Linked DNA regions of Schizosaccharomyces pombe. Changing the gene in region 3 together with the main gene of any one other region gives a genetic interaction. Each region holds a gene or a part of one and is shown on either strand. Other genes may lie near its edges.

Region 1 (5,111 bases), on a different chromosome or scaffold from region 3:
TAATATTTATATTATTTTCGTTGTGTAAAGCTAAAAAGCAAGGCTAATGGCAAATATGCCTATATTGTCCTTACACTGTACTGAATCGGTAACAATTGACAAACACGCTTTTATAACATTTTATCAGTGCTTAATTAAATTCAATACATCAATAATTTATTGTTATTTAATTCACCGCTATTTTTGAATAAAGCCAAACTAATTCAAAGAGTATTAATACGTTACTTGTTTCAACAAAGTTTCTTTGCCTCTTACATACAAAAAAATGCTCCACGCCTGCCTACTCGTCTGAGCTTCTCAAAGCTAACCCAGACGGTGAGGTATGGGTAGTACGCTTAAGCGCCATCCATTTTCAGGGCTAGTTCATTCGGCAGTTGAGTTGTTACACACTCCTTAGCGGGTATCTACTTTTAAAACAAACTGCGTATTCGCTAACTAACATTTGCACAACTTAACTTCAAGACTAAAAAAAACTACAAGCTACAGCAACAACATTAAAATGTAAAGAGCACTTAAAAATTGATCAGTCAATTTAATTTCAATCAGTAAGACTAGAAATAAAATATCAAGTGAAATTTTTGTTTATAGTTGCAAAAGCAAGATACAAAAAAAAAGAACAAGAAAAATGAAAAAATAAAAAATTCCAATAAACCCACACATCAACCCTTTATGCCATATCTAATCAAAAGTATATCCCAAATGTGTATTCAAATGTATAGGTTTTAGCTACAAAAGTAATCTTTCAGTACGAAGCGTAGTCTTCAAAACGATTGAAACTTGCAAGCTGTAATAAAAACATAAACAAAAGCTAGAGTAGAAAATAAAAGAGTTTATAAAAACCAAGGTGAAAAAAAAATCAATAGACTCTTAGTAATGTCTTTCAACAAGAGACCGAAAATTTATTCTCTATTTCTTCCTCCTTCTTGACAATAACCGAGTTGTCCAACGAATCAAAAGAGATTTTTGCATGCTCCAACGAAACATCAGCATCGGTATTCGGCATTTTCGAAACAGAAACAGAGTTGGTAAGCTGAGGTGATTCAAGACCCTTTGAAGAGAGTATCTCGGCCATCGTGACGGATTTTGAGAGTACGGGGAATTCTGATTTTACCTCGTCAGACATTCCATCTTCTCCACCAGGGCCCTTACCACGACGACGTCGGGTAATTTTGTTCTTCTTCAAACCAATAGGACGATTGTGGCCATGAAGACGGGCATACAAACCACAAGCGTTACAAACAGTCTGTCCGTGACGATCTTTGCGCCACAACGAAGTTTTCGTAGAAGAGCAATTGGCACACACCAAATTCTCAAGTGCCTTAGATGAGCCTTTGTTTCTAGGAGACAATGGTCTCATAACACCATACTGTTTGTTGTAAAGACCACAAGCATTGCACAAGAAGTTAAGCTTATCTGATGTACGTCTCCATAAAGGCGTTTCAGTGACTCCACAGTTAAAACAGACATGTTCGCGATGTTTCTTTTGTTTCATTACACGTGCTGCCTTACTAGCCTTTTCAGTTTTAACGGCAGCAAGGGGTGTAGAGCCTTTCATTCCCTCTGCTAACGTCGACTTCAGACTGAGAGAAGAAGAGTTAGAGGACAGATTAGGAGTGGAAAATTGGGGCAACTTAAGTGAAGCATCCATGAGTAATGAACGAGCCTTTTCATCTGTTTCAAAGCTTTCAAACGAAAAGAATGGATCAACGGTAGCGATCGAATCGGACAAGCTAGGAACTGAGCCCAAGAACTCAGATTGGGATAGCAAAGCAGAAGACGAACCAGTCAAGGATGAGCTCGATTCGGAGAGCTTCGAGGGAGACGTGGAATCGTTCAGCTCCCTTTTAACAGGCGACTGAGGTGACATGAAGCCCAGATTGCTTAGCTTGCATCCATAGTTGGTGGGATAAGATATGGAAGCAAACGCACGCTGACAATCACCATCAGAGGCAGGGAAAAGAGGGGCTTGACTTTCATCGAAACCAAACTCGGAATCAAGAGCACCAGGGAATGGTGTATCGATTAATGCCGAGCTTGGCGTTGGGATGCAGGGAGTCTGTACATAAGAGAAAGGGGGTGTGGGTTCTGACGTCTTACTGGAAGACAAGGCAGCAATGTCAATATGAGAGTTCGACAGTATGGTAGACTTTAGCAATCCGGAATCACCGAGTTGCGCAGACTCTAAATCAGAACATTGCCTTTGATTGTCGAAATCCATGCTGTCAAGAAGAGACCAACGAGCAGAGGGGTTGGTTTGCAATTTCTGATTATTCTCCGTAGAGTTAAAAGCCAAGGGATAATCAGAAAGCAGTTGCAACATTGAAACCGAATCAAAATCAACATCTCCCTTGCCTGGCGCATTGGCGAAAAGGGCATCCTTATGAAGATCAATGGGAAGATTTGCGATATCGGATAATGCTGTATCAGCGGGGGAAGTGAAAGTAGGGTCAAATTCGGAAAATTGACCGTCAAACGACCCTTCAGTCATAGCCGAAGTAGGGAAAGAGGGCTGACCAAAGGGGAAACAAAATTCAGTAGTATCGTTGTAATTCATGATAACAAAATAATTGGATTTGCTATAAACACACAGACACAAAGATAATTATAAAAAAAAATAGAAAAACAAGGGAGAGAAACGAAATTATAATACCGAATTCAATCACACGCGAGTAATATGTTAGTCACACACAGACAAAAAGTAATAAATGTTTAATGTTGACTTTGTAAAAAAATAAGAAGCATAATGCACTTTGGGGATAGTTAAAAAAAACAATAGACCCGACCAAACGATGTAGAGATTCTAAAGACTCTAAATGTTACAACCAGAGGAAAAGAAAGATATTTGACCGAAATGAGTAAATAATAAAGGATTATTCCAACGAAATTAACTTGCGAGTTACATCATATTGGAGAATTATAAAAAAGAGATAAAAGGAAGACGATTAAAATAAGAGAGAAAATTATTTAATCAACCACAATAGTAGAAAAGATTAACCGAAAAATACTAAAAAGATATTCGATAAACAAAGAGATAGGAGAAAAATTTTGGTAGAGGGATAGAAAACCTAAAGCAAAATTAAGAAGATAAAAAAAATGAGGTGAAAAACAACCTACGATAAATTCTCAATGAGACAACATTTTGAATGATTTAGGAGAAAAAGACTTAACGACGACACGAGGACGAACGAAGCATGCTTTGTAAACGTAATATTGGGGGTGGAAACAAAAGATCCGAAACAACAAAAACAACCAGTATATTCGATTTCAACAAGGAAGTAAAATCAACTTAAAAAAACGAGGACTTTATAGATAATTTAACACATCTTGGGAAAAATTAAATCTGAAAAGTAACTAGAAAACTGAGGTATGTAAAAAAAAATATGTCAACACTAAATGGAGTAGAAGACAAAAAAATAGAGATTTAAAAGCTTAAAATAAATGTAATAGACGATTTACGAGATCAGGATGTTAACGCTGTACTAGTAAAATTGTGTGGTAGTTGTGGTGTTGTTGGTTGTTAGTAAGTTTGGTGTAGTGGTAAAATAAAAAAGGAAAAGAAAAAAACCGGCGGCGCAACGAGCTCTTAAATAGGAAGAACGTGACAAGAAAGCCACTACGTAGTCAACATTCATGCAGCTATTATGGACAGGTACGGCAACTTTTGATTGGTAGAGAGAGGAGGCATAATAGTAGGGACAGCGCCTTATCAGAGGGCTTATCGAACGATCGGGGTGACATCGGCCCCAAAGCTTATCGCATCTAAGTCGCTTTGTAAGTGGTGGGAAAAACATTAGATAGCCAATCAAAGATTGCAAAGACTTGAAAGCAACACCCAGGCCAGCACGCAATGAACCATCGTTCAAGTGCATTAAAGTATATAGCGAAAGAGAATGGAATGCAGTAAAATCAACCGGCTGTGGAAGTGAGTAGCGCCGATATCGCTATATAGGAAGTGTGGGGGTGTATATATAAAATGGGGGCGAAAGGGTTACTATAGAGACAAATAGACACGAGGTAACTAAGTAAGTAGGTAGGAGAAAAGCGAATTAACAATTTGAACTTGATAATAAAATAGTTGTGTATTTCTCAGTCAATTTAGAATCAATTGAGGAGAAAACTACATGATCATAGAAGGGAAAGAAGGAACACAGCGAAAGAAAGAAGCGTTAAACAATAGGAATGGTTCTTTTTGAACCGATTGTTTATAGAAATAATAAAATGAATGTTATGATGTGAATGTATGAGTGGAATGTGGATGTGAATATGAATATGAATATGAATATAAAAGAAGATGTAATTAAAAAGTAGGATTTGGAATTTTTCACAACAAAAACTCGATTAACTGTAAATGTCGAGTCCTATTGTTGGTTAAAAAGAAAATTACTTAAAAGTCCTTTTGTAATAAATTCTACTCTTAAAAATTAAAACTGTTTATGCCTTATTATTACACATGTGTCCGACATGCCTTGCCTGTCCAAAATGCCTTGTCTACTATACTTTTCTATACTCAGTCTAACGCATTTACTTTCTCTGCCTGCAACCTTTCTGACCCGCTATAACGATAGTGACTGTATTCGTTTAAGCTTAGTTTCCGTGTTCCATCATCAATTGTTAAGCTTATTTCCGCAAATACACTCGCTCTCGCTATTTAAAGAATTTTCGGATTTTTTCGGTCTGCGCAGTAGCGACTATGAAGGCAGCAGAAGTACATTCCTACCGGAGAATGAGTTCCGTTGGTATTACACACGGAAGGCAAGTGACAAGGCTAGTGAAGGATGATCGATTGATCCTATTTCTCGGGTTGTAAAGGCCCCAAAAATAGAGTGTTACAAGAAAGTAATGGGCCTTGCTTTGTGCGTATTTTTGTTATTCAACATGAGTTTGCTATAGCATGAATTTTCTCTGAAATGCGCATACTAAATTGCAAAACTTGTTTGATAAAAGTGCAATACACTTATCATAACGATGTTGATGAGTAAATGAATGTTGCGCATCACTTGACAGTAGCAAAGTGCAATTATTGGTTTGCGCAACGTTGTTTTGTTCATTTCGCCAACTTTGCTTATTCACACCGGTTCTATGTTCAGGCATTTTGTTGGTCGTTGGTTACT
Region 2 (4,340 bases), 1.5 Mb from region 3:
ATGTGAAGACACTGGGTCCATGGAGGCCCTGTCAGATTATCTCAAACCATTACAATTTGGAAAGGTAAAATCTCGAGTCTTGTATACTGGGGTGGGTCCAGTAACCGAAACTGATATTGAGAGAGCTGAAACATCCGATGCCATCATTATATCGTTCGGTGTTTCCGTTCCGAAAGCTACTTTTCGTTTAGCAGAAAAACACAATGTAAAGCTGTTGTTTCACAACGTTATTTATCATTTAATGGATGATGTACGGAAACTTTTTGCTTTGCGATTACCGCCCATATTGGTTCAGCGTGTTACCGGAGAAGCTATTATTAGTGCAATCTTCGACATCAAAGCTAAAAGAGCAGTTGTTCATGTCGCTGGTTGTCGAGTTACTAATGGAACTATTGAAAAATCCCATAAAATACGTTTAGTACGTAATGACAAAATTATTTGGTCTGGTGAAATTGACAGTCTAAAACACTTAAAAGAAGAAGTCACCAGTATTAAAAAAGGCAGGGAATGCGGTATATTATTAAAAAATTTTGACGAAATAGTTACAGGGGATAAGCTACAAACATTTGTTGAGGAATACAAACCTCCTGATTTTTAGCATGCACTTCTTATTTAATCCTGGCTTGAACTCCTTTCAATTAAGGCAGGCAATCGAATGAAAAGATTCATGTTATTATGATATACTATGATTGATGTTACATGCATAATGAACTTTCGCTTAAAATTGCAAACTTCTACCATAAGCAAGCAAAGCTTTTTATACATACTTTTTTGTTAATGAATGCATCTCAGCAATCCTTTTTTTCTGTTAGACACGTATTGTAAACGAACGTCGTGTATGTTCATCAAATTGAATTGAAGAGTTTAAAGCTGTAAAAACATGAAGCTTTCTTGGTATCAAAGCGTAGAGCTCACTCTTGGTTAATTTGGTAACTGACCACTGTTCTTTTTTAACTGCGATAATCAGCATTAATACGAACATAGTCATACGAAAAATCGCAAGTCCAATTTGTTTTGGCATAAGGACCACATCCAAGATCAACGTCTACAGTGAGTTCGTCTTGCGATAATATTTCGCTAGCACGGGTCTCATCGACATTTTGTGGTTCACCATTTACTAAAAGCTTCAATGGTTCAGTTCCGTCTGCAGGAATAAAACTAACGGTCGTAGCAGGAGGATTGACAGCAGCACCTGAATAACCGACGGCACACAAAATACGACCCCAGTTAGCGTCCTCACCAAAGAATGCCGTTTTCACCAATGCAGAGTTACTAATGGTTGATGCCACCAACGCAGCGTCTTTCTCTGATCTAGCGCCTCTGACTTGCACAGTAACGAATTTCGTAGCACCCTCACCGTCACGGACAACCAGCTTTGCAAGTTGTTGAGCAATATCCGTTACAGCATCACGAATCTCCTTGTATGCAGGGGAAGACTTGGTAATCTCGGATCCACCAGCAGCTCCATTTGCAAGGAAGGCAATTGTATCATTTGTACTCGTATCACCATCAATACTGATAGAATTGAAACTGTTGTTAATTGCATGACGAAGTATAGATCGGACTGCATCAACTGAGATTGGGGCATCTGTAACAAACAAACCTAAAAGAGTGGCCAAGTTGGGATTGATCATACCTGCGCCCTTGGCAAAACCTGCAATCCTGTAGACTTTGCCTGCAATACTAAGTTCACGGGAAACGAGTTTAGGGAAAGTATCCGTAGTGCAAATGGCCTCAGCTGCTCTCATCCAGTATTCATGAGTGGACCCGAGGTCTTCAACCGCGTGTTCCAAACCGCTTTGAATCTTGTCTAACTTCAAACGTTGTCCAATAACACCAGTCGACATCACCAACGACGAGGGAAATTCCTCTGAATTCTCAGTCCACGAAGTCCAATGTGGACGAGTCAAATTATCAGCTTCGGCGGTAATGAGTTGGGCATCCATCAAACCGCCCTCACCAGTAACAGCGTTAGCGCAACCGCTATTGAACACGACACAGTGAATATCTTTACCGCCACAGCCGTTCAGAGTTTGGCGTGAAACTTGAACTGGAGCAGCTTGAAATGCATTCTTAGTAAAGACGGCTGCGGCGTTGCATGGTCGAGAGGAAAATAAAATGGCTAAATCCTTTTTTCCATTGGCTTTTACGCCGGAAGCAATACCATTTAAGCTGAAACCTTGTGGATACGTTCCAGATTTACTGATGAATTTGGTCTTGTCGGGCATCGTACCAACAAACCGAGCCCGACCAATGCCAGCAAGACGTGCAAAAATTTTGGTTTGCATAGCAATGAATTTAATGGTCAGTCTTGTAACAAAATCAGTGGATCCCTTTTTTAGTAGAATTGAACGAGCAGTTTAATAAAAGCTACAATAATGTAAACTTGCTTTGTATATAAATATATATATGCGATGGCGGTAGTGGTTTAAGAAGGATGAAGTCTGAATCTTCGAAGCGGTTATCAAGTGAAACTTGATAAGAAGATGGGAATGCTGCACAACAAAAGTAGGTATAGCGAACAACTAATTTGTTTGAAATTTATTATTCTTACGTTTAATTAATGATACTTTATGAGCCTTACGTTCGAAAGGATGAAAACAAGTAGCTCCCTAAACCTTACATTCGGGATTAGCTTTGCCTTCGTTTTCTCAGATCTACATTACAGAATATCAGTTATCCCTCTCATAATGTAGTGCAAAGAGAAGGGAAAAATGCTGGGATCTGTCTGTTCTGCTGCTTTTACACATTCATGAACATATAACTGATAGATTTTCAGTTTAATTGGGGCTGCTACCACTGTTTAATTTATTTGGTTGAGTTTCAAACAGCAAAGAAAAACTTCGTGAAATCGGCAAAGTCCAACCACCTCCAAGTTTTATTGCCTTTTTCAAACTTTTCATTGCTTTTTTTAAAAAAGAAAATACCAATTCATGCTTCCAACGCATCATTTCACAATCAAGACTTGCATGTAAATTTAAAGCCAGTTCATCAACATTTTACGTGAAAAATTTCAATTCCTTAAAGTGTGTTTTAAGCAAGAAATAGAATAATAATCTTTATAGTGTTTGATTTATTTCAATTTAACTCGTTTCATTCATTAATAGCTGTTCCTTGCGATTTCAAATTTGAAGGCATGTTGAATTTGGAAATTCTATGTGTTGCTATTCTCTTCTCTTTTTTAAAGAGAAATGTTTAAATAGTATTAATGGTTTTAACTATGCTCAAAAAAAGAGGGAGCACAGCACAACCGAAGACCAATGCAACATACCATTGTTGGAATTGAATTAGCTTGCTGTGGTTATTGTTTATTTTCAATTTTTTTTATGTTGGTTTGCAGGGTTTAACGAATGGTTTCAGCACGTTTTCAAACACTTTCATAGTTTAAACTGGTTCATCAATTTTAATCACAAATAAGCGTTTAAACAAACTGCGGGTTTTGTTTCGCATCAAACTTTCAAGTTTCACGTTTAATTCATTAACAAAATTTAATGTAGTTTAATCTGTTTCAGGAATACGTTTTAATATTGTTTCAACAATAGTTCAGGTACAGTCGTTTTATTTCTTTTCTGTTTCAGTCATTCGCAAAGTTTAAACATTGTAAGTGCTTTCAAGGATAACAATGCAGCCAAAAAGTGTACCAAAAAGAATTCAATTACAGTAGACAAAAAATGGAATCCATTTTTAAGTAGATTCCATCAGTCATAATAATAACTATCACTATCTAAGCTACTATTCATCCAAAAAAGAGACAAGGCTCACATAAACCAACTTGGGGGTTGGTTTAACTGGACCCCATCAAGAAATTTAACAGAGCTTAGAAGACAAGGTAAAAAGAAAAGTGGTACCGAATCCAGCTTTTTGAATGACCATTTCAAAATGTTGCAAGAAAACAACGTTTCTTATAATATTCCAAATTAGAAAAAAACGAACAAACCACAACACAAAGAAAGAGACATTCAACCAACTAAAGCGATCTTGCATGCATATTCCGTCTTACAATAGTAAAAGAGAAGTGCTTTTAAATCAAGACGGCAGAAGATTGACCAACATTTTAATACCCACTAAGTCTGTTTACCTCCCTTGTTTCGCAGACTTCATCGACTATTTATAGGAATTTCCAATGCATAGTGAAAGAAACTCAATTCTGTCCAATAATTTAGTTCACGCCTACTTAAATGACGTAGTTTATAAAAGCTCCAATGCTTTGTTAGTTTACTGAAAGAAGAGCCAATCAAATATTAGCAAGCGACTGATAGCATAAACAAACGAAAGCCTAAGCCTTGGTAATATAAGATACCTTTATATGAATAATATTCTTTTATTTTTTAAATACTTTA
Region 3 (8,879 bases):
TGAGCGTTTATAAAAAAGAATGTAGGAAGAGGAGAAATCTTCTCTCAAGTCAGTAATACCGCCCACTGTTCGAACAATTGAGTCATCAATATGGCACCATTCATTATTAAAAAGTACATCAGATATATAATGTCCATTTTCGAGCTGGCCATAATGACAGATAAATGCAAACAGGTTATAATTGCTAGGAATATAACCAATTCCCGATTGGAAACTCGGTGGTACCAGCATTTTACTTGGAATCTGTAAGCTCAATCCAAGTGGTGTATCAATTTTTTTACGACCCATTACGGATATTTTAAATCTCTGAATTTGTATGATCAAATATTCAGGTAGTTTCGAAATCATAATTACTTTTTTTGCCGACCTTTGAACCTTGCACACGGGACAATGCCATCCATCATGCCCTTGCAAGAGTTCAGGAGCTGAAAATTTTAATAAGCATTCTTGTAGGCTTACTACATGGGAGACATCGTCAATCGGTATCGCAAGCGATGTGAAGGGAGCAAAAGTAGTAGATGTGCGGCCACATGTCATACATTGAGTACGACTGCAAAGTTGACCTACAAAATTGTTGACCACAATACTCTTGTTAGACCGGAGATGCAAGTTCCATTCAATGTGTGAAAAGTGGGACAATGGGAGTTCTTCTCTGGCACTTAATTGATCTTCCGTCAACGGTGCTATCGGAGACCGAGATGCATTGGAGTTCAAATCTTCATGAAGTTTATCAAGAAAGAAATTTAAAAATTCTTGAGCATCGCATTGGCCATCGATGGAGAAATCTCTATTCAATGACTGTACAATTTCTAAAAAATTCCTTGGAGATATTGATCTCTGACCATGGTTTAATAAGACACTTTGAAGCAAGGAAAAGAAAGCAGATGTGATTTTTCCACCGGTACCCAATGGATTTTTGGTATTGATATTTTGAAGCAATCCTCTCCCCTGTAACATAGGAATAGTCAAGTCCTTACACGCAAAAAGACATTGCAGGACACAATTCATGTAACAAGTATTACCCAAATTCGTTAAACCTATAGGCTGATAATTTTCATACGATAAAGAACTATCAACTTTCTTAGGGTTCGCCAATTCCATGAAATGAGGATCCAACTTCAACGAACGTAACATCGAGTAAAGCTTGTAAGCCAAAGAAACGTCTTCGAAGTATCTTTCCAAACTGTAACAAATAACCATGCTTGGATGAAAAGGTGCGGATTTTAAAAAGTCATATATTTTTGAAGAATCCATCGATTGCAAACAGGATATTGGGATGGCAATCGTGTGCTTCGAAAAAACATAACCCTTTGAAGACTCTTGGGAATAGAAATTAAGAAAAAGAACTTTAAGTGATGATTTTTTTGATAGGGAAAGAGCGTCAGAGATTTGAATTACAGGCAAATAATGCTTCACCGCTAATTTGCTTTTTATAGTAAAGGCTTTGGAAACGGCTTGAATTGCTAACTAAAAGGACATGTTAGTATTCAAGATTGTAACTTGAACAAAAAATAAATTAAGTTTGCTTCAAAGATCATAATTAGTACAGTCTCGTCAACTATATCAAATTTATCTGACGAGAAGGCTAGGGAGCTTTGAATACAAAATTTTCGTGTTTTGAGCATTAAAAAAAATACTATGTACAATGTCGATACCTTTTGGAACTGTTTGAATTCTCCATAATGAGTAGACTTAACAGAAATCTCGAATCGGCATGGAATTTCGTAAGCAAGTTTTAGTGCTTTTAAATAGTAATAGTATGCTTTGAGTAATGAATTTTTTTGTTCAAGAGTTTGGGCCTCAAAACTGTTAGTAATTGAAGCACATTACTATAAACGGCACGGAAAAATTAGACATACCTCTTCAAGCCAGCGTTGTCCTCTGAAGGAACAGCTTTGAATCGTTTCATCTTCATTAATATAAACGAATGCTAATTCAAATAGTCTGTCGAAATAATCATCGGACATCCGAGGAAGAACCGAGTATTTGTGTTGGCGACTTAACCTGAATTGAACCAAATACTACAAGACTATAGCCTTTTTTGGTTATTATGGTTTCAATTGAAGCTATGAAGGATTCAAATTGGGACTTGCAGATACAAGTATTCCGGCGAAGGCTTAATCCGGAAGTTATGTAAGTACTAAGCAGGTTAGCTGTGGGTTAGTTAATGTAAACATCTTTATTAACTAGTACCAGAGAGGCAAGAAATGAGATTTTCTTATCCTTGCCCAGTGATCATGGATTGATTACTTTAGTTATAAATAAAGATAAACCGTTTCAAATATCGGTATTACTTGAAAAAAATCAAGAGTTCATGCAAACGGCAATGAATAAGTACGTTGAAACGGCATTTCAAAATCAGAAAACAACTTTGACAAGTTTATTTAATTATTTGTTACAAAATTGGAAATCATTTGAGACATGCAATACAAAAGAGCGTGAGTTGATGGTTCAACAAGTCGATTCTAAGAAACCAGAAACCCCAACTGACTTAGAGCCGTTGGCAAATAAGCTTGAAGGACCTCTATCAGAGAGGGTTCATTTGAACACTACACTTGACTATGAAGTACTGCGTGGTCAAAATCACTGTCAAAAGCAGAATACTACCCAAACAAAAACTACCATCTCTGGCTCTGAACAGTTATTCAATGATGAAAAGCCAAAAAAAATTATTTATTCAAAAGGAGGAAACGATGGGAAAGAAGATGATCTACAAAATGTTAATGAACCACAGGATGCTTACAGTAACGATCATGACATTCAGAGCAAAGACACAGAGCTTCTGGGTAACGAATACTGCTTAGAATGGAAGAATCCGCATTTAACTAATGTCGGTACTCTCAAAGCACCAATTTTACGTTTGGTCATAAAGTGTGTTCGGTGCCATTATGGAAGTGAAATTTCTATTGCTACAAAATTTTCTCTTGTTTGCAATAAGTGTAGTAATACTCTAAGATTAGTTTGGGTGCCTGGTGTGATTCACCCAAATAATGCCCGTTTAGGTATCCTCCATACTTTAGGATGTGTACCGGTTGACGTGATGCCCATTGACTGTCAGGTCTCTTGTATGGAATGTGTTGATGAGCAGATAACATCCTTTAAAGGTATTTCTTCCATGCAGCCCATGCTACAGTTTTGTAAAGTATGCAAAAACAGAATCTTGGTTGAACATCAAGATACCGAATTTCATTTGTTAAAACAACGACAAAGTTCAATGGGCGGGAAGGTGAGCGCAAAAAAGAAGCAAAAACAAAACTTAAACATTACGAAAGGATTGCCACTTCCCAATAATGGTGCTTGCGAACATTACAAAAAATCATTCAGATGTAAGTCGTTTATAAAATTCATAATTAACAATCAGGGTTTCGTTTTTCATGTTGTGATCGTGTTTATCCATGTGATGAATGTCATGACGCTGATCAAAATCATACATTTGAGCATGCTAATCGAATAATATGTGGGTACTGTGCCATGGAATCTTTCTACAAAAAGGATGCAACTTGCCCCCATTGTGGAAATATGACTGTGAAAAAACAAACCAGTGCCTACTGGGAGGGAGGAAAAGGAATGCGCGATCGCGTTCGCATGAGTAGGAAGGATCCAAGGAAGTACAAAAGGAAGCATCACGGTAATTAATTGGGTTGCATGACATCCATATTTTTTTGCTTCATTAGATACCCATATTGTATAAAAATTTAATGAATAACAAGTAGTTAATCTTTTGATAGAAGATACTTTTAAAGTCTTCGTATTTAACCAAAATAATTATCCTTCATCATCACTCACTTCATAATTGACGAGAGAAACCGAATTATCTTCAAGGATTTTCTCTCCCTTTAAATTTTCTGTAGGAAATTTCCTTTGCTCGCTCCTTAGCTTCTCGGAAGGGACAAATTTTCGAGCAAAAGGATCTTTTTTTGCGAATGAAGTCTCAGCAAACTTTGCAAAAGTCGAAAATGTTCTAGAAGAGGGCATTAATGTTCTTCTATAATCTAATTTCCTTATAAATTTATTCTTTCCTAATTCGTTATCTAGCAACAATAATGCCTTATCCTTGTCAGAAGAAGAGGGTGGTAATATATCAATGTCCAACGCTGCACGGTTTTTGAGAGATAGATCTTTAGCTTCTTGCTTTTTTTCAATTTTTTTCCTTTCCTAAGTTATGGGTTAGTTAATATGAAAATTTTAACGCAAAACAAATTCTTCTTACCCGAAACTGTTTTCGCAGCCTCTGAGAAGAAACGAAAGGATCCGACCAAAGCCTTTCATTTTTCTCATATATAAAGTTTATTACAGAACTATTATGCTTTTCTGACTTTTGCTGAGTTAATTGGGTTTCCAGCGCTTCAATTGCATCAGACGGCACCTTTTCGTCGTTTTCAGCTTTTGCAGGACGTTCATTGATGTCTTGAGGTTCAATTTTCCTTCTGCCTCCAGAAGCAACGATGTATTCTGTATTCTATTTATGTCAGTAACAAATTTGTTAAATTAATCAAACCAGTACCTTAGGATCCGTATGTACATCGATAGGGTTTGAGCATAAATGACATTTTAAGCTGAATGACCATATTTTCGTAGTATAGTATGAGCCAATCTCTTTTTTAACAGCATTGAATCTAGTGCCTTGTTGAATGATATTTTCACAATTGTTGCACCACACTGGAAATGGCATTTCAAACCGAATTACATTTCGTAATTTATCAAATTTTCTTTTAGCATTCGGCCCTTCCGGGGGAATATATTTCCCCATATTAAATCCTTGCATTTTTAGTGAGTATATAGCTCTTTATGCCCAAAATCAGTAGTTCCTAAGTTAATACTACGTCTAGGTGAAGTTCAGGCTAAATCAGTGGCATGCAACAGAAACATAATTATAACTCTTAGTTAATTCATGGCTTTTCAACAAACAATTTTAAATTACGTTTGCTAAATTGACGTTAAAATAATAAGGGTTCCATTCTACAGTTTCAAACGGACAAGGTAAACATGTACAAATAAATAAATTACATGACGATTATTTGAATTCATTTCTTATAAATTAATAGAAAATTATAAATGACATAAAAAGGTATCGATGAATTATTAAACACTTGATGATATTTTTAGGTTGCTTCAACGGGGACGTTCAATTTCTTGGCCAAGTCTAAGAAGCTTTTCGTGTAGCTATAAAATTTCGGCCTTTTGCATAATGATAAGACAATCAAAAATGTCTGCTGAGTAGGGAAAGGACCGTTATGCGACATCCTTTTAATGGTATTTAAGCATTCAGCTGCTTGGCCCTGCTGAACAAGGTTACGTAGCTTCTCATGATATACTTGAAGATTTAAATCAAATTTGTGACTTTCCTCAAAATACTTCCAATACCTTGCTAACAAATCACCGTTTTGTATTTGACGAATGACCTGTAATGCTGTAACCAAACTTCTTGAAGTACAATCGCAATATGGGGGTAAAGGATAACGCAAGTTGGAATCTTCGAAAATCTGATATTCCAATCCCATCACTTTTGTAAGAATATTTAACCCCACGTTTCTCACTTGAGGCGAGTTGCTAGTAGCCAGAAGTTTCACAAAGGAACAAATAAGACTTTCATCAACTGCTATTCCTTTCTTTTGGCATTCAAGGACAAAATAATTCCAAAGATTCGTCCCCATCTTTAACACTTCTTCACGTTGTTCCGGATTGAACATAGAAAAGTCGTTCAAAAGTCGAAGAATTTGAGATCCACTATAGAAATCCAATGTTTGTTTGATGGATGGAATAATCATTGACACCAATACCATACTTTTAAGCTTTAGACTACACTTGGATATAATTCGTATGTGATGCAAATTGGATGTGACATTATTAGACTCCTTGAGAGCACTAGCTGTTACCTTTTCACTATATTCACGTAGTTTAGAAAAATTTCCTTGCTTATTCTTTTCAATAGCATCGCAAAATCCCTTTAGAAGAATGGAGTATGTATGATCGCTAGGTTTTTGTTGGCGCTTTTTCATATCATTGTACAAAGACCAAGCAGCGTTGTAATGCCCTTTAGCTAAATGATATTGTAGTACAAGGTTATAGGCAACCGTCTTCTTGGCATTTGATCTCTCGTACAGTAAATGCAATGCTTTCTCTAAAGACTCTTTTTGAAGTAACGAAGATACATTTTTAGCCAGTTTGAAACCATCGTTTCTTATTAAGGATGACTTAGTTTTTTTATTTCGAAACTCATTTAGATTGTTGACTTGCTCCTTGAATTTCAAAGCATCAGCGATTAAAAGGCGCTTTCGTACTAATTTCCGCGCATTACTTACTGAAACACTATACGTGGTTGCAAATTCCCGCAAGCAGAAGCGGTTTAGGAGCAAATCGACAAAGGCCCTTCGCGGAAATGTCCTTTTAATGAATTGCATTAAACAAACCACTAGTTTATTCAAGTTTAGGATTAAAACCGCGTTAGTAGGAAGTAAGTTATAAAATATGAGTTGTTACGAATGAAGACACTACATCATTAGTTCAACCATCGTCTTATGTACAACGTTGAGTAAAAGTGCTGTTTGACGAGGTAAAATTACTATATGCACACAAAAGATTGCAAAAATGAGTTAACAAAGCTAATTACAATGAAAGTAACTACTAGCGATGAATTTACTAATAACACCTAATGACCAAAACAACTAAATCTACTTGTTGTAAATTATTTTGTCAAAGCTAGGAAAGATATGGTTATTTTTAACATCTACACCAAATTAAAGCATCTTTCTAACGAGAGAGTTAATATGCTCATCACGCTTGCCAGCATCACCACCTTCGATGAAATGCTTGAACTTGCGATCTCTCCAGCCACCCAAGGGAGAAGAAAGTTGGAAGGGCCAGATGAAGTTGGCAGCTTGCTTGAAGTTGGGACCGACGGTGTAAATTTCGTGAATCAAATCCTCGATAGACAAGATAGAGTACTTGCCCAAAGCAGCTTCGATGATAGCATTGTCAGAAAGAGCAATGCGTTGTTTGTTGACCTTACCAAAACCACGCTTGTAAAGGAGCTCACGAACAGTCTTGAGGTTAGGAATACCATAAGTAACATAAGGTTCAACGACTTGAAGCATTTCTTTGGTAGCCTTGTTAAATTTAACAAAGACACCGTTGTTGATTTGAATAAGACGGAGTAATTGCATGATCTTACGGGCCTTGGGAGGAATGTTGTTGATACCACGAATACGGATGACAAAGACCAACTTGGTTTCGTCAGGGACGTAGTAGTTGCCCTCAGCACGAGCCTTGCGACCGAGTTCGATTTGCTCACGTTCGGCCTTGCGGTACTCAGCATCGTAAGATTCGGCGCGCTTTGCAATGAGCTCACGCTTCTTTTGTTGAGCCTAAACATAACAGTTAATACAGTAGAAATTTTGTGAAATTAGAATGGATGTAATTTAGATGGAAAGAAATAAATAAAGAGAAAAGTAGAAAAACAGTAATCAGTCCCGAAAGATGGTAAATTGTGGAACGCGCACAGCCTAAGCTAGCTATCCGAAATTTGTTGTCATCATCTTGTTTTTCATATTTCTCAATTATCTGCTTTATTATTGCTTATAAAAATAAAGCAATCATAAAAAATTCCATGACAGGCTAAAGCGTTTGACTAATTTTTGGGAGGTGAAAACCCTTGCAAACCGATCAAAATGAATGTGGGAGGGTTCTATCTAGATGAAAAAACACAATCTGTAGTGTACTTTATAGATAAACTCTTCATCATTCAAAAGATTTCTGTACTTTATTCAATCCATCCAAAGACAAATATCCATAGACAAAACACTTACAGCTTTCTTCTCGGCAGCGGCAGCAACACGCTGTTCACGAGACTGCTCTTGGGTCTTCTTCTTCTTCAAAAGAGACTCAGGAGCAAAGATTTGCTCCTTTGAGGGGACCGTTGACGATGCTACAGCCATGATGGTGGATGTCTGGTGGTAAAGTTGGTAAGAAAAGACTAGTGGTCAACTTTTCCCATGAGCAGTCACAAAAGTTTCGACACAAATTTGTGACTGTTCCTTTAGTTTACACAGGAAGAAGCCCAAAACAAAAGAGATATCGCAGTTACCAAAAACTAACCACGAAAAATGGCTACTAACGTTGGCCCTCAAATCCGTTCCGGTGAGCTTGTTTTCGGCGTTGCTCACATCTTCGCCTCCTTTAATGATACATTCGTTCACATCACTGATTTGACCGGCAAGGAAACCATTGTTCGTGTCACCGGTGGTATGAAGGTCAAGACTGATCGTGATGAGTCTTCTCCTTACGCTGCTATGTTAGCCGCCCAAGACGCTGCTGCTAAGTGCAAGGAAGTTGGTATCACTGCTCTTCACATCAAGATCCGTGCTACTGGTGGTACTGCTACCAAGACCCCTGGTCCTGGTGCTCAAGCTGCCCTTCGTGCCTTGGCCCGTGCTGGTATGCGTATTGGCCGTATTGAGGATGTTACTCCCATCCCCACTGATTCTACTCGTAGAAAGGGTGGTCGTCGTGGTCGCAGACTTTAAGTGTGCTGTCGTATCTGCCAGTGTCTCGAATTTTATTTCGGTACTTTTCTGTCACATGGGAGGAATTTCACTGGAATTGTTATTCGTTTAGGATATCTACAGTCAAAAATGGATTTGTAATTTTCTTCTAAAAGTATTCCGTAGTACTATATTTGTGTATATTTGTATTGTTTGAATATTTAGAACTTCATGTCTTGTATCCTGTGAGCCACTGTGTTGGTGTAATGAAATTGCAAGTTGTGTTCCTTTAAAGAATTGACATATGCTCTTTAAGTCTACAATAATATTACAGAGTTTTAATTGGACTATTTTAAAGCTATCATTTTTGCCAATTAGAAAGGGATATATGTCCTTCAT

What was found. Genes that interact genetically often act in the same process or in processes that back each other up.
Region 1: mutations in saf4 (region 3) and fil1 together harm fitness more than expected from each alone (negative genetic interaction), as found in Schizosaccharomyces pombe (one large-scale study listed by BioGRID).
Region 2: mutations in saf4 (region 3) and aga1 together harm fitness more than expected from each alone (negative genetic interaction), as found in Schizosaccharomyces pombe (one large-scale study listed by BioGRID).

The regions. Positions count from the first base shown.
Region 1 is NC_003421.2:810,098-815,208, reverse strand, and holds fil1 (zf-GATA type transcription factor), read right to left. Parts: upstream 3,520-5,111; 5' UTR 2,555-3,519; coding exon 881-2,554; 3' UTR 501-880; downstream 1-500. UniProt on the Schizosaccharomyces pombe protein: Activates genes required for amino acid biosynthesis and acts as a master transcriptional regulator during amino acid starvation. Binds variations of the DNA sequence 5'-GAT[AC]GC-3'.
Region 2 is NC_003423.3:335,851-340,190, forward strand, and holds aga1 (glutamate N-acetyltransferase), read right to left. Parts: upstream 2,431-4,340; 5' UTR 2,289-2,430; coding exon 951-2,288; 3' UTR 599-950; downstream 1-598. Other genes in the region: mti2 (translation initiation factor IF-2Mt), read left to right, coding at 1-598.
Region 3 is NC_003423.3:1,784,282-1,793,160, forward strand, and holds saf4 (splicing-associated factor Saf4), read right to left. Parts: upstream 4,766-8,879; coding exon 4,505-4,765; exon of another isoform or gene 4,460-4,504; coding exon 4,211-4,459; exon of another isoform or gene 4,156-4,210; coding exon 3,766-4,155; 3' UTR 3,637-3,765; coding exon of another isoform or gene 3,362-3,636; 3' UTR 3,327-3,361; downstream 1-3,326. Other genes in the region: ubiquitin hydrolase Ubp4, read right to left, coding at 1-1,467, 1,656-1,799, 1,860-1,967; SPOM_SPBC18H10.09 (zf-CHY type zinc finger protein), read left to right, coding at 2,051-2,133, 2,197-3,326, 3,362-3,636; PPR repeat-containing protein Ppr2, read right to left, coding at 5,103-6,401; RNase MRP subunit, ribosomal protein L7-like Rpl701, read right to left, coding at 6,738-7,364, 7,806-7,934; rps1402 (40S ribosomal protein uS11), read left to right, coding at 8,103-8,522.